Oryctolagus cuniculus: one gene and its partner. Each later gene encodes a partner of the first gene's protein in a complex. Links are inferred from orthologs where the notes say so. Each region holds a gene or a part of one and is shown in the gene's direction. Other genes may lie near its edges.

What was found. The genes of interacting proteins can lie anywhere in the genome.
Region 2: the proteins of IRGQ (region 1) and GABARAPL2 are in contact, whole or in part, in a crystal structure (PDB 8Q6Q), measured with the Homo sapiens proteins. The link is inferred for Oryctolagus cuniculus from reciprocal best matches to the Homo sapiens genes IRGQ and GABARAPL2. Residues at the interface, in NP_001007562.1 of Homo sapiens: Asp7, Thr9, Leu11, Pro47, Leu49, Phe57, Pro70, Trp71, Glu74, Pro181, Ala182, Gln183, Asp184, Gly185, Phe186, Glu187, Val188, Leu189; in NP_009216.1 of Homo sapiens: Ser10, Glu12, His13, Cys15, Val16, Glu17, Ala19, Lys20, Ile21, Ala23, Lys24, Tyr25, Arg28, Pro30, Lys46, Lys48, Tyr49, Leu50, Val51, Pro52, Phe60, Ile63, Arg67, Phe104.

The regions. Positions count from the first base shown.
Region 1 is NC_091449.1:12,314,616-12,321,613, forward strand, and holds IRGQ (immunity-related GTPase family Q protein), read left to right. Parts: upstream 1-2,720; 5' UTR 2,721-2,859; intron 2,860-3,031; 5' UTR 3,032-3,033; coding exon 3,034-3,560; intron 3,561-4,664; coding exon 4,665-5,970; 3' UTR 5,971-6,106; downstream 6,107-6,998. Other genes in the region: ZNF576 (zinc finger protein 576), read right to left, coding at 730-1,154, 1,781-1,865. UniProt on the Homo sapiens protein: Autophagy receptor that specifically promotes clearance of misfolded MHC class I molecules by targeting them to the lysosome for degradation.
Region 2 is NC_091449.1:57,941,773-57,948,514, forward strand, and holds the start of GABARAPL2 (gamma-aminobutyric acid receptor-associated protein-like 2), read left to right. Parts: upstream 1-2,300; 5' UTR 2,301-2,576; coding exon 2,577-2,610; intron 2,611-2,956; coding exon 2,957-3,012; intron 3,013-4,029; coding exon 4,030-4,202; intron 4,203-6,742. UniProt on the Homo sapiens protein: Ubiquitin-like modifier involved in intra-Golgi traffic. Modulates intra-Golgi transport through coupling between NSF activity and SNAREs activation. It first stimulates the ATPase activity of NSF which in turn stimulates the association with GOSR1.

The DNA.
Region 1 (6,998 bases):
GCTCTGCCCTGAGCGCCCCCTCCCGGCCCTGAGTGTGCTGGGGGGATGGTGGGTTTCTTGTCCAAAGGCCGGAGCTGCCCTGCGCAGACGTCTTCCTCTGGCGCCTGTTTTTAGAGGCTGCGCCTGCTAGCTTGCTCACGCACAGAAAACACTCCGTGACGAGAAGCGCTCACAGAATTATTTTAAGGAGCCCTAAGCTGTCTCCGGCTGGTGCCACTTCAACGCCGGGGCCCCTCTGAGTGGGGAGAGACAAGGCCTCCACTGCAGGCGCCACCCCCGCAATGCCTCGGGGTGAGCTCTCAGCGTCGCCTCCCCTCCTCAAGAGGGGCTCGCCCAGTAGCGTCGCCTCCCTTCCCCGCCCCCATCCAGGCACAGATCCAAGGCACGGTGCCCTGACAGCCCATGGCATCCATCTGGGGAGAATTAAAGGTGATTACGCAATCTGCAGCTAGCTCTTTAATTGGGAATGAGGGAGATAAAAATAAAATTTCCCTCTTGCTCATTTTTTAAAAACAAAAGCTCTCAACGATGATCTGATCTCACGGCTCCCTACGGGCCCCACGTCCTCCACAGCGCAGAATCTTCCAGGTCCTGTGCGTCACGAGCCCTCGCCTTCCTGGGGAGGGACGCTTAGCCGCCCAGCCCCCCCTGGGGACCTCCACCCCCCACCTTAGATGGGCCCCACCAGCCCTAGCGCCCCCATCGCCGCGGGGAGGGCTCAGGCTGCACTCAGAGCTCCCCCCGAGCGTGCCGGATGTAGTGCTGGTGCAGCCCTGCCTCCTGGGCAAAATCCTGGCCACACTCGGTGCAGGCGAAGGTGCGGGCCTCGTGCACCTGCCGGTGTCTCCGCAGAGAGCCGGCCTGCGCGAAGGCCTTGCCGCAGTCGGGACACGCGAAGCGGGCCTGCGCGGCGGCGGCGGCGGCGGGTGCACCTGCAGGGGGCGCTCGCGCGGCGGGGCCGTGGCTCCGCTGGTGGGCGATCAGGGCCTCGGAGGAGAGGAAGGCGCGGGCGCAGGTGAAGCAGACGAAGAGCGCCCCCTGCAGCTTCTGGGCCACGAAGTCGGCGGGGTGCTCCCGCTTCAGGTGGCGCTCCTGGAACTTGGAGTCGGCGAAGGTGATGAGGCAGCGGCTGCACTGCGGGGCCTCCAGGGGGCCTGCGCGAGGCGGAGAGGCGGGGGTCGCCCACCGGGGGTCTCCAGGCCTCCCCCAAGCCCCAGACCCACACCCACGACGCCCATGGCGGGCTGGACGGGACCGTTGAGGGCCTGCCTTATTATGGACGAGTGGACTCAGGCCCACCGAGGTCACCGGACCCGGAGGTGACCCCGAGAGTCGCGCTGCCCTCTGAGCCACGCTGCCCGGGACACTTCCTGGGCAGGTACGGGCGCTGGCCTGGCCGCGGGACCTCTCTGCCCCGGCTCTCACCCAAAGTCCTAGTGCCCACTTGGTGACGGAGTGAGGTCCCGGGGGTGAATGCATCCTGCCCGGGGGGCAGGGGCTGCTCCCCGTCAGCCTGCCTTGCTCCACTGGCCGGAGGCGGCCCCACGAAAGCCGTGCGCGGTGGGCAGCGGCAGCCGTGGGCCCAGGGGCACGGGGGCTCCAGTCTCGGGAAAAGTCAAGGGCAGGGCTGAGCTGAACCGTCCGCATCTCCCGCCGAGCCTCTCCTGCAAGCCACCCTGTCCCGGCTGCACCCTCCTCTCGCTTGTGCGGCCAGAGCAGGGCAGCTCAGGGGCCACCCCAGGCCCCGGACCCAGACACTGGACGGCGCCCCTGTACTCACAGATGCGGCCCCCCGGGCGGCCGGGACGCCTCTCGCTGGGCGACTCCTGCGGCTCCAAGGTCTCCTCAGGGTGCGGGTCCTCCATGGTGACCGCGGCCCCTCTGGTCAAGGGAGGAGCCCTTATGAGTGAGGAGTGAGGCCGCTCGGCTGTCCCCAGCCCTGGAGGGCCCGCCAATCCCACGACCTCCGCCATCGACAGAGCTGCTCCTCGCCCACCTTTGACCCCCCCCCCAAGATGTACCCATCTCCTTGAACTCTTTCTGATGGAGCCGTCCCCAGAGAAGCTCAAACCTAGAGGCTTGGACTCCCCGCGTCTGTGGCTCCCCTAAAGCCTGCTCGCTTGTGTGACCTGTGTTCCCGCTGCACCAAACCAACTCCCTGAACTCAGAGCGTGGGACCCTGGACTGCCATCAGCCTCAGCGGCACCCACCCCTTCAGCCTGCCTCTCCCCGGAAGACACGCTTCTCTGCCATCCTGGGGTGCTCCACCCAGAGTCCCCGCCGCCCGCACGCGCTGCCGGCCTCACTGTCCTGCAAGCACTGCCTTGGGCCCCCGGCTCCCCAGGCGGGTCGCCCCGGCCTCCGCTCCTCTCCGTACAGCAGAGGCTGCCTCGCGCTGTGCCTGTCACTGGCGCCCCACAGCGCCGCCACCCACAGGGAAGCGAGGTAGGGCCCGTGGCATTTCGGGGTTCCCGCAGCTTCCGAAGCTTCCGCCTGAGGTGCCTCTCGAAGCCGAGCCCGTAGTTGCCATCCGGCAGTAGTACAGTCGCCAACCCGGGCCTCCAAATAACGGGCAGTGGGGGAGCTCGGAGGTCCTTCCTTGCACTGCGACGCGTTATGATGACGTTGCGGCCGCCGTGCCGTACAAGCCGAAGCGCTACGCGCGAGTGCGCAGGCGCTGTGGCCCGCGCATTGTTAGGGGCGCTCGGGCAGTGCGGCCGTCCTGCGCAGGCGCCGCGAGGAAGGTCGAGTCTCTGCGGCCTGAGTGACGTCAGCGCAGGGCCTGGCGGACGCGTCCCGGCGCCCACGCCTCAGAGCCCAGCTCCGCAGGGGCGAGGCCGCCGCCAGCTGTGCTCACAGGTGCGTCGGCGCTCCCGGGCGGGTGATCCGGGAGGGAGGAGGGGTGAGGATAGAAAGGGGCAATGGCCGGAGAGGAGGCAGAGCGGGGGCCGGGGGGCCTGGGCGCTGGGAGGAGGGGCCCGGAGTCTGGGTGCCCCGTGACCGCGGCCGGCCGTCCCCCCTTGCCTTCCAGCCATGCCTCCGCCCAGGGGCGACGTGACCGCCCTGTTCCTGGGGCCCCCGGGGGCCGGCAAGTCCGCGCTCATCGGGGCGCTGTGCAGCAGTGTGGACCTGGTGGAAATCCCCGAGGGACGGCCGGACGCCGGCGTGCCCAGGCTGAGAGCCGCAGGCCCCGGGCTCTTCCTGGGCGAGCTGAGCTGCCCGCCCGCCGCGCCCGGGCCCTGGGCGGCCGAGGCCGACGTGCTGGTGCTGGTGCTGCCCGGAGCCGAGGGCAGTGGGGAGCCCTTGGCACCGGCGCTGGGCGAGGCGGCGCGGGCTGCCCTCGCCCGGGGAGCCCCGCTGCTGGCCGTGCGGGCGCTGCGTCCCGGGGCTTCGCAGAGTGACGCGCAGACGCGGGAGCAGACCGCTGCCCTGCTGGACCGCGCGGGGCTGGGGGCGGCCGCCCTGTTCGTGCTGCCTGCGGACTGGGCTGGCAGCGAGGACTGCGAGGAGCTGGAGCGCCTGTGGGGGGCGTTGCGGAGCCGGGCGGAGGCGCTGCAGAGGTGAGCGCCGGGTCTCAGGCTGGGCTGGGGAGGCCTGGGCCCCATTGTAGGTGTCCCACCCACCCCGTCACTGTGCCCTTTGAGGGTCGCAAGGCTCCTCCAGGCTCAGCCCCTCAGTGTGGGGGGGGAGGTCAGGAGGCTGCACCCCAAGTGAGCCCCCCGGGGCCAAGACCCCTGGAGGTCCTGACCCCCTCCCCAGTCACAAGCCCCCCTTCCTAGCGACAGTTCTGGGGGAGGTCAGATTTATCACCCAAACACTGCCCCCAGACCGGGGCTCTGTCTGGTGCAGCTTGTTGGTGAGCCCTATAGGCCCTGGTTCTCAAGTGGCCCCGGCCACACCTTCCCTGAGCTTGATTGATTTTTAAAGGTGTGTGTGTGTGTGTGTGTGTGTGCGCGTGCGTGCGCGCGCGTGCCTATTTGAAAGGCACAGAGAGAGAGAGAGCCAGGGAGACTTCTCCCGCCTGTCGGTCCACTTCCCAATGGTAGCAATAGCCAGGCTGTAGGTCCCCGACATGGCCGCAGGGGCCCAAGCACTCGGGCCATCTTCCACTGCTCTCCCTGGCGCATTAGCAGGGAGCTGGATCAGAAGCGGAGCAGCCAGGCTGCGAGGTGGGATGTGGGCCAGGTGTGTGTGTGTGTGTGTGTGTGTGTGTGTGTGTGTGTGTGGCTCGGTGCCACAGCGCCGCCCTGCTGGTGCCTGGTGCCCTCCCCGCTCCCCTTGTCCCGGCTCCTCTGGTTTCTGTGCTGGTTTGCTGGCGACCTCCCAGATTCCCTTGCCAAACAGGTCGTCCTAAGACAGCCTCAGCGGGGCGGGCCGGTGCCAGTGCCTGGGACTCGCTGTCCTTGGCGTCACCGGCCTCAGGTGGCCATGGCCGCACCTCCTGGGCCAGTTTCCCCTTAGGGTCAGGATTTTGCCTGTTGTGTGCCCCGCCCCCAGTGAGGTGTTGGAGCTTTGACCCGGTCTTGGGTTCTGTTTGAAACCTGAACTCCAGCCAACCAGACACCACCCAGGGCTGCTCGGAGCCCCTCCCACCATGGGTGCCCGCCCCTGCCACTGGACTTGTCCCCAACGCCGCCCTCTGCTTCTCCCCCCCACCCCCGCAGGCTCCTGCCAGCGGCCCAGGATGGCTTCGAGGTGCTGGGTGCCGCCGAGCTGGAGGCCGTGCGGGAGGCCTTCGAGAAGGGAGGCCTGGAGGCAGCTCTGTCGTGGGTGCGAGCAGGCCTGGAGCGCCTGGGCAGCGCACGGCTGGACCTGGCAGTGGCCGGCGCCGCAGGCGTGAGCCCCGTGCTGGACGCGCTCCTCGGACTGGATCCCGGCCCCCCAGGGGCAGTGCCCGCGCCCGCGCCCGCGCCCGCTGGGCCCGCCCCTTTCCCGGCCCCGGAGCGCCCCAACGTGGTGTTCTGGGTTGTGCCGCTGGACCCCGCTGGCGGCGCTGCCCTGGCCGCCACCACCCCTCACCCGACCCACTACGATGCCCTCATCCTGGTCACCTCGGGGGCCCCCACTGAGGAGGACTGGGCCCAGGTCCGGGCCTTGGTGCCACCGGACGCGGCGCTCGTCTGCGTGCGAACAGATGGCGAGGGCGAGGATCCGGAGGCCCCAGAAGAGGAGACGGTGGGGAAGCTGAGCGGCGGGGGCCGAGTGGAGCCTGCGCCGGGAGACGGGAGGGAGAAAGCGGGCCCCGGGCCGCAGGCAGCAAGCGCAGGGGAGGGCCCGGAGAGGGCCGGGAGCCGGCGTCCGCAGCAGGGCGGCGGGGATGCAGAGGGCTCGGCCGCCTTGAGCCCCGAAGATGAGACCTGGGAGGTGCTGGAGGAGACGCCGCCGCCCGTGTTCCCCCTGCGACCGGGCGGGCTCGCGGCACTGAGCGAGTGGCTGCAGCGCACGCTGCCCCCGGCCCAAGCGGGCGCACTCCTCCTGGCGCTGCCGCCCGCGTCCCCCGGCGCGGCCCGGAGGAAGGCGGCCGCGCTGCGGGCCGGGGCCTGGCGGCCGGCGCTGCTGGCCAGCCTAGCGGCGGCAGCGGCCCCAGTTCCAGGGCTGGGCTGGGCCTGCGACGTGGCGCTCCTGCGGGGTCAGCTGGCGGAGTGGAGGCGGGCGCTGGGGCTCGAACCGGCGGCGCTGGCAAGACGTGAGCGCGCCCTGGGCCTGGCTCCTGGAGAGCTGGCGGCGCGCACTCGCTTCCCGGGGCCGGTGACGCGCGCCGAGGTGGAAGCCAGGCTGGGCGCCTGGGCGGGCGAGGGCACTGCCGGGGGCGCGGCGCTGGGCGCGCTCTCCTTCCTGTGGCCCGCGGGGGGCGCAGCGGCGACGGGCGGCCTGGGCTACCGCGCGGCGCACGGCGTCCTCCTGCAGGCACTGGATGAGATGCAGGCAGATGCAGAGGCCGTGCTGGCGCCCCCTGAACCCTCGCCGTGAGGGTTGGGGGCCTGACTGGCTGCTGGCCCCCGAGAGACTTAGGATCTTAAGTCCCTGTTAGGGGGAAGGGGACGTGGGAGTCTGGGCTACTGGGGGTAACAGGGTGGGGGCAGGTGCTTGGAGGGGAGGAGAGACTGGGGGGCTCGGGGACTTGACCTCCAGGTTCCTGCGTGGGGAGGGGAGTTGGGGCCTGGACTCCCACGAGAGTATCCATCTTGTCTCCAAGGGAGCGGAAGCCGAGGTGGCTGAGCGTCTAGTCCTCCGGGGGAAGAAGCCGAGATTCCTGGTGCCTGGGGACCTGCACTGGCTCCCGTATGGGGAAGAGGGACCCGACCCCTTGGGCTCCACACCCCTCCCGGCAACAGTGGGCTTTGAGCCCTCACTGAGGGGAGGAGTCCTGTGAGCCTTGGACTCTAACTCCTGGGGGGTGGTGGGACCCCTCGGTGTCTTGGGGAATAGGGACTGGTCCAACACCTGCTCTCGGGGGTCTCAAATGTGGGAGGGGGCGACTGTCTGCACACGGCGGGCTCCGAGGGTCCCCAGAGACCAGGGATGAGGCTTGTGGACGTGGGAGGGCTGGGACCCGTTCACCGGGGTGCCCCCACGGGTCCCTCACGTAGTCGGATCCTGGTGGCGGCGGCTGTCTTGCAGTGGGACTGCTCTGTGTTGGAGGTGCTGAGTGAGGGGGGCTCTCTCGGGGGTGTCTCCCTTTGCCTCTCTTTCCGGTCTTTATTCTTTTTCAGCCTCGGTTTCTTCTGTCGCTAAACCTTAACCCTTTCTGACCTCGCTGTTTGTGCACCTGCCTTTTTGGAGAAGCAGCTGTGCTGCGGCACTGGTCCAGATGTGTGAGGGGGCGTCCTCGAGAGGTGCTGCCCTCTGGTGTACGCACAGGGTGTTGCAGTGAGCAGGCGGCCCCGAATCGGAGAATGTGCCAGGGTCTGGGCTGCCAGCTCCGTGCGTGGGGGAAGCCGCGGGTTACAGAGTGCTGCCGTGTCCGATAGCGAAGGGGGCCTGAGGGGCCGTCTAGA
Region 2 (6,742 bases), about 46 Mb from region 1:
TGGAAGACCTCTCTCTGTCTCTCTCTGTCTCTGTCTCTCTGTCTCTCTCTCTCTGCCTCTGTAACTCTGCCTTTCAAATAAATAAATTAATCTTTAAAAAAAAAAAAGAAATAAAACCAAACTCTTGATTCTAATCCTGCATGCTAGCTCCACCCTATTTCAGTAAATGGCCATTCCATCCTTGAAAAAACCTTGACTTTAACTTATCCCTCACATCTCACAACCAATCTGTCAGAAAATTTGTCAGCTCTACCTTCAACATATATCCAGAGCACAAGTGCTTCCCAGCATGTCCCCAGATACCATCTTGGTTTAATCCAACATGATCTTTCACCTGGATTTTCACAATAGCCTCTTAACTATTTCCCTGCTTCCACCTTTACGCCCCCATAGTCCACTGTTAACACAGAAGCTAGCCTGGTCATTGAAAAAGGAAGATTGTATTATGCCTGTACTTAAAATCCTCCACTGCTCATCTAAATGTATATAAAATCCAAAGTTCTTTGCAAGAAATTCAAAGTTCAACAGTTTTGTTCTAGATGACTTTGATCCCATCTCCTAATACAATCCTCATTGTTTACTTACTTTCAGTGGCAGGGTTTTTAGGGGCACACATAGCCCTCCATTGCTTTCCCAGGTACATTAGCAGGGAGATGGATTAGAAGTGCAGCAGCTGGGACTCGAACCGGCAACCATATGGGATGCCGGCACAGCAGGCCAGGGCTTTAACTCCTGTGTCACAGAGCCTGCCTTGCGGCAGGGTTTTTAGTCAGCACTCTATCCCACCATCACCGTCTAGTCATCTACTTCATTTTGTTCTTCTAACCAGCACTTATTAGCATATCACATATTTATTTTTGGCCTTGTCTCATGGGAATGCAGCCTCCATGGGAGCAGTGGTGTTGTCTGTTCACCGCTCTGTCCCTTGCGCCTGGGGCAGTGAGTGTGCTTGTGTACCACAACACCAGTTTCTTTCTTTCTTTCTTTCTTTCTTTTCTTTTCTTTTCTTTTCTTTTCTTTTTTTTCTTTTTTTTTTTTTGACAGGCAGAGTGGATAGAGAGAGAGAGACAGAGAGAAAGGTCTTCCTTTGCCGTTGGTTCACCCTCCAATGGCCGCCGCGGCCGGCGTGCTGCGACCGGCGCACCGCGCTGATCTGATGGCAGGAGCCAGGTGCTTCTCCTGGTCTCCCATGGGGTGCAGGGCCCAAGCACTTGGGCCATCCTCCACTGCACTCCCGGGCCACAGCAGAGAGCTGGCCTGGAAGAGGGGCAACCGGGACAGAATCTGGCGCCCCGACTGGGACTAGAACCCGGTGTGCCGGCGCCGCTAGATGGAGGATTAGCCTATTGAGCTGCAGCGGCAGCACCAGTTTCTAAGTATGAAACTCAAAGGATTTTCCACTTCGTTAACAAACCCTCTTCTGGCTGTTGAGACACGCAACCGTAAATGCACAGAAATACTTGTAGACTGAACCCTGCATTCCACAGCATCCGTGGGGAATTCGATCTGTAGGAAGTGATGGATGACATTATTCAAACACACAGGCCTTTTGGATGCAGCAGAATCACAAGCATGTAGCAGGGGTCATGTGCCCAATTAGATGAATGTTCCGGTCACATGTTCACCAGCTAATAAACAGATGGTGACCCAGGACACCCTGCCCTGGTGACTCTGCTTGGAAGAAAGGAATCACATCGCTGAGTGGAGAACCTCAAGGCTACGTGCAGGCAGGTGACACAGAGGGCCCGGCTGTGCCTGCTAAGCCACTCCCACTGCCCAACAAGGAAACCTGCCCCGTGACCAGCACTCAGAGGAATTCCGGCCTGGCAGTCACCTCTAACTTCCCTGCTGGGTGAAGGTTAAGGGATCGCTGTGTGGCCGCTGATGTCACACAAGCATTTGTGACACCCTCCATATGCATCCACACGTATATTCGTGGATCAAGGAAGGAAATGGGATTCCTGTATGATTTCTGGATTCAAGGTAACCTAGCATGGCTGACCTCAGTGCAAGACCCCCTGGACGTCATCAGCTCCCCTCCCCACACACAGCCCTCAAACTGCCAACACTCCCCTATGCTGAGTCCCCCACCCCTCACCGCTGCAAATATCCCCCAAACTGTCAACGCCCTAACAAGAGACCACTCTTCTGTCATTCATATTCCTAAATACCCTTCTGGTCAGCACCGTCCCAGACTTCCCCTATGAACAACCCTAAGAGCCCTAGCCTCTCAGCCACGCCCCCAAAAGTCTTCCGTATCAGTCACCAACGCCCTGGCGCCCCACCCCCGTCACAGGTCCTCCAGCAGTCCTCCCCCGACCCAGTAGCCAGTAGCCCTCAAGACACCCCTGCCACCAGCGCCACAGCCCGATCGCCCCCTGCGCCCCTAGTGCGGCCCCGCCCCCTGGAGCGGCGACCCTGCGGGCGGCGCCGGAAGCCCCGCCCCTGCCAGTTGCTAGGCTCCGGCAGCCGGAAGTCCCGCCTGCCGTGTAGTCGCTGCCGTCGTTGTTGTTGTGGTCGGTTCGCTGAACTCCGCGGCTCCCGAGAGCCGGCTGCGTCCCCTCGCTGCCGCCGCCATGAAGTGGATGTTCAAGGAGGACCACTCGCTCGGTAAGCTCTCGGCCGCCGGCCGGCCGGCCCGCGGGGAGTGGGGGCGGCGGGTGGGCCCCCTCCCCCACTCGGGCCGCCCTGGGCCGGGTCGGGCGGGGCGGATGCTGCGCTCCGGGCTCGGGTCGCCGAGGGCCCGGGCCGTCGTGGGCAGCCGCCCCCTGGCCCGGTGCGGCCCTCTGCGGCCCCTCCTCCGGGAGCCCGGGGGCAGAGGACCGCGGTCGCGGAGACACCGGACGAGGGCCGGGGCTTGCGCAGGTCGCCGGGGGAGGAGGACCGCGAGGGCCTGGGGCCCGGCACCGGCCCGGCGGGCAGGCGCCGCCGTCAGCCCGGTGTGTTTCTCTCTCAGAACACAGATGCGTGGAATCCGCGAAGATCCGAGCGAAATACCCCGACCGGGTTCCGGTGAGTGTGGGACTCCCCGCCCCCTCGCCCTGCTGGCTCCCCTGTCCCCTGCCCGGGAGCGGCGACGGGGCCCAGCCGTGCGACACTGGGTGAGCTGAGGTTCCGGACCCCGCTTGGCGTGGCCGGCGGTCCCCCGGCCGGGGTCGAGGGGCTGGGGCTGGTGCTGTTCAGGTGCCTCAGTGCTGAATCTCCCGATCTGGGCCAGCGAGCTGTCTACAGCCCCAGGGCTCCCTGGCCAATTACGTAAGGAACGATGTTCTAGGACAGGGCAACAGGTCACTGCCACTTTTGGGAACGGTGGCGGAGCGACTCACCGTGGTCCTGGAAGCGGCCCTTAGGTTTCGGGACGTGCAGTCTTTCACTCTGCGTGTCGGGCTCGCGGACTTCTCGTTCCTCTTGTGCACGGGGACCATGTCGTCTTGCCTGACCGAGGATGCTGCAGAGCTGCGGGGAGTCCCTTCTCCCGGGTCTCCTTTTAGTCAGTGATGCATTCGCGCCTGTAGTTTGTGGTCCGTGTTGGTTTGGAGAGGTTCCCCTGGGGAGGGCACAGACCCGAAAGCTGTTCAGAGAAGCGACAGGCCACCCGAGGAGCCTGCCAGGCAGCCCAGCGGCCCGCCCGTGCTTGCCGGCTGTGTCCGTGGGCCCTCAGTTCTGCAGCGTGGAGGTGGGTCCACTCTGGGGTCCTGGAGGAAGCGGCTGTACAGGAAACACCCACCAGGCATTCTCAGATCTGCCCAGATGAGATGTTGAAAGCCTCGGTAGCTGATTCTTCGGCATGCCGCGATCAGGATGAGAGGCTTAATTGACCACAGAGAAGCACTTACTGTTTCCCCATAATAGATGTGTAGCAGTTCCTGACGTCCAGATCGTGTGGCTGCTGGAGCCGGCGGGGTCTGGCCATGCTCGGCTGTTTCCCACCCAGCTCCTTGCCCACACTCTGCCCATCAGTGCCCCGCCAGTGTGGGGGAAGAGCCTCACGGGAAGAGACCCAGTCTTGACTTCTCTTTACTTTCCCAGGTGATTGTGGAAAAAGTCTCAGGCTCCCAGATTGTCGACATTGACAAACGGAAGTACCTGGTTCCATCTGACATTACTGTGGCTCAGTTCATGTGGATCATCAGGAAGAGGATCCAGCTCCCTTCTGAAAAGGCGATCTTCCTGTTCGTGGATAAGACAGTCCCACAGTCCAGGTGAGGTGCTGCCACACAGACCTCCGAGGGGGACGTCTGCCCGGCTGCTTAACACCACCAGACCCTTGGGAGGCCTCGGGATCTGCCTGGAATCTGGGTTTTATGGTCCCTGACACCAGGAGCGCCAGGAAAACAAGAAAGGGCTGCCATAAATGGGAGTGCACTTTGGATTAAGAAAATAGAACGAAGCCTAGACGGAAGAAAAAGAAAAACCCAGGCTCAGCCACCCAAGAATACTGGGAAATAGTCGAGCACGCAGGTCGGCCTAAGCCGTAGGTAGAACAAGGTATCAGACGAGGTTTCTCACGGGACCGTGAGGTCGCCCCTGCTGCTCTGTCAGGAGCTCTGGGCCTCCTGGGGCTCAGCTTCAATTGATCACCTGCTTGCTTCTCCTCACTTCCGTCAGCTCTTTGCCTTGGTGAGACGAGCGCCCAGCCCCCAGCACTTGTGGCCCCAGTTCACTCGATGCAGCCACTTGCTCAGTTGAGGTTATTCTTACAAGTGTGTTTATAAACACGAGGCATGTGACGTGCCTGAGGAAACGGCTGCTGCTCAGGAAAGGCTCTGAGGGCTCTCTGCGCTCTTTTACCGGCCTCGGCACCTCCTGCTTTGACTGCCACAGTGCTGTGCTGCCTGGAAGCCGCCTTTGGGATTCAGTTGTGACTTGGGGCCTGAATCTAGGCAGGGCTGTCACAGTTCCCCTCTTTGGTATAACTGACAGGCCAGCCTTAGTCCTCTTGGAATGGGGCACAGGGACTGGCTCAGTCTAAACTCCTGGTCACTCCATTGCCTTTACTGATTGGGCACTTCTAGGCCTGGAGCCAGATTCTGGACCCACCTTTTTGCTGAATGTGAATTCCTGGCCACATCTTCCCTTAGTGACCCAAACAAGGTTTCATTTGATGTCCTGTACAGTAGTAATTGTAAAAACTGAAGCTTTGAGATGCCCTAAGAACTAGACCAGTGTCGCTGAAATGCTTTCCTTTTTAAAAATCTGAAATACCCAGAAGAGGCCTAAGCCAAATTCCAGACCTTACTTCTGCTACCGGTGGAAAGCTTGGCTTTGGTCTTACTTCCTCCTTCCTGATCTCCACTTACTCTGCTTCCTAGTGTTGGTAGCGAGGCAAGCAGGGAAGAAACGGAGGCCTCTATGCTAAGGCCAACATCCAGCTTGAGGAGACGCTGGGCACCTCTGCTCTGCTACGTGAGGGACCTTACCACTGTCGGTTCTTCCTTGCGGGCCTCAGCACTGTGTTCCTGGGGGTGCTCTTCCTCGGGGGAGAAAGCCTTGGGCAACCGTGGTCACTCTTAGCTTCCCTTAAGGTAGCGGTGGAGGCCAGTCTTCCTAGAACCCCTGCGACTTCTGCAGTCTGGCTGACCCTGTGCTGCCTCCTCGCGGGAGGTGGGAGCTTAGTGGGGGAAGTGGGAGCCTGGCTGCGACAGCCGATTTTCCTGATTCTGGGTCTCGAGTACCTGAAGGAAAGCAGCAGGCTGCTGGAGACGTGAAGCGTACTCCGGGGGCGCCACAGAAGTCTAGCAATTAAAATGGCTACGAGTCTTACCAACTGCTCCTCCCCCAGTATCCCTGAGGTATAAATAGAATTGGAAATGAAAAATGTTTCTCAGGGCTGCTTCACGGCCAGTTTTTGACCCCATTTGCCTTTCTGATCTGCGGAGAACCCACCCTGAAACTGAATGCGGTAGACTCCTGTCAGGATTTTAGGACAAACCTACCAGGAGCCCAGATCCTACCCTGCGGAGTTAAGGGTGTTGGAGCCACCACCCTTCTGCCCAGCCCCTCAGCACTTCTGCCCCAGTAATGACTTCTCACCCCACACCGATGCAGCCACTTGTTCATGTGAGGATTTTATTCTTACAAAGTTGTTTATAAACAAAAGAGGCATGTGACGTCATCAGGCTATATGCAAATATAATTACCCCTTAGCAACACAGGGTGCCAGGGTCCCCTTCAAGTGTGACTCAGCTCCTCCTCCTCCTCCTCCTCTCCCTCGCCACCCCAGGCAGTCCTCAGCCCCTTCCTCAGCTCTTCCAGCTGTCCTTAGTGGAGAGAGGAGCGTCCTTCAACCTCCTCCCAGTGCTGGTCGTCTGCAAAGAGCGTGGGGAAGGTCAGAGGAGAGAAGGGTGTGTCCAGACCTGTGGAGCCCATCCCTCCCCTCACTGGCAGGTCTGCACGGGGATCACTTACGCCTGAGCCAGAGGCAGTGACTTCGGGTATTTCTGCTACAGAGAGGGACGCAGGTGCTCACCACGTAAATGTCACGTTACTGTGAAGGTAGTATGAAATGTTGATTCTCAAAACAGAGGCCGAGGCAAATCCCTGTTTCACTTCCTTGATTCAGAGTTCTTGTTTTGCTATAACTGTGGGGAATCACAGCTGCCTTTCCCCTTCAGCATTGCAAAGCTGAATTCTCTGCCTAGATTCCCGCATCAGAATCAGGTGAAAACCAGAAGGGAACTGTGCCTTGGTACAGACGGAACTTGAGAAAGAACACCAGGGTACAAGGATCCCAGCTGTGGCC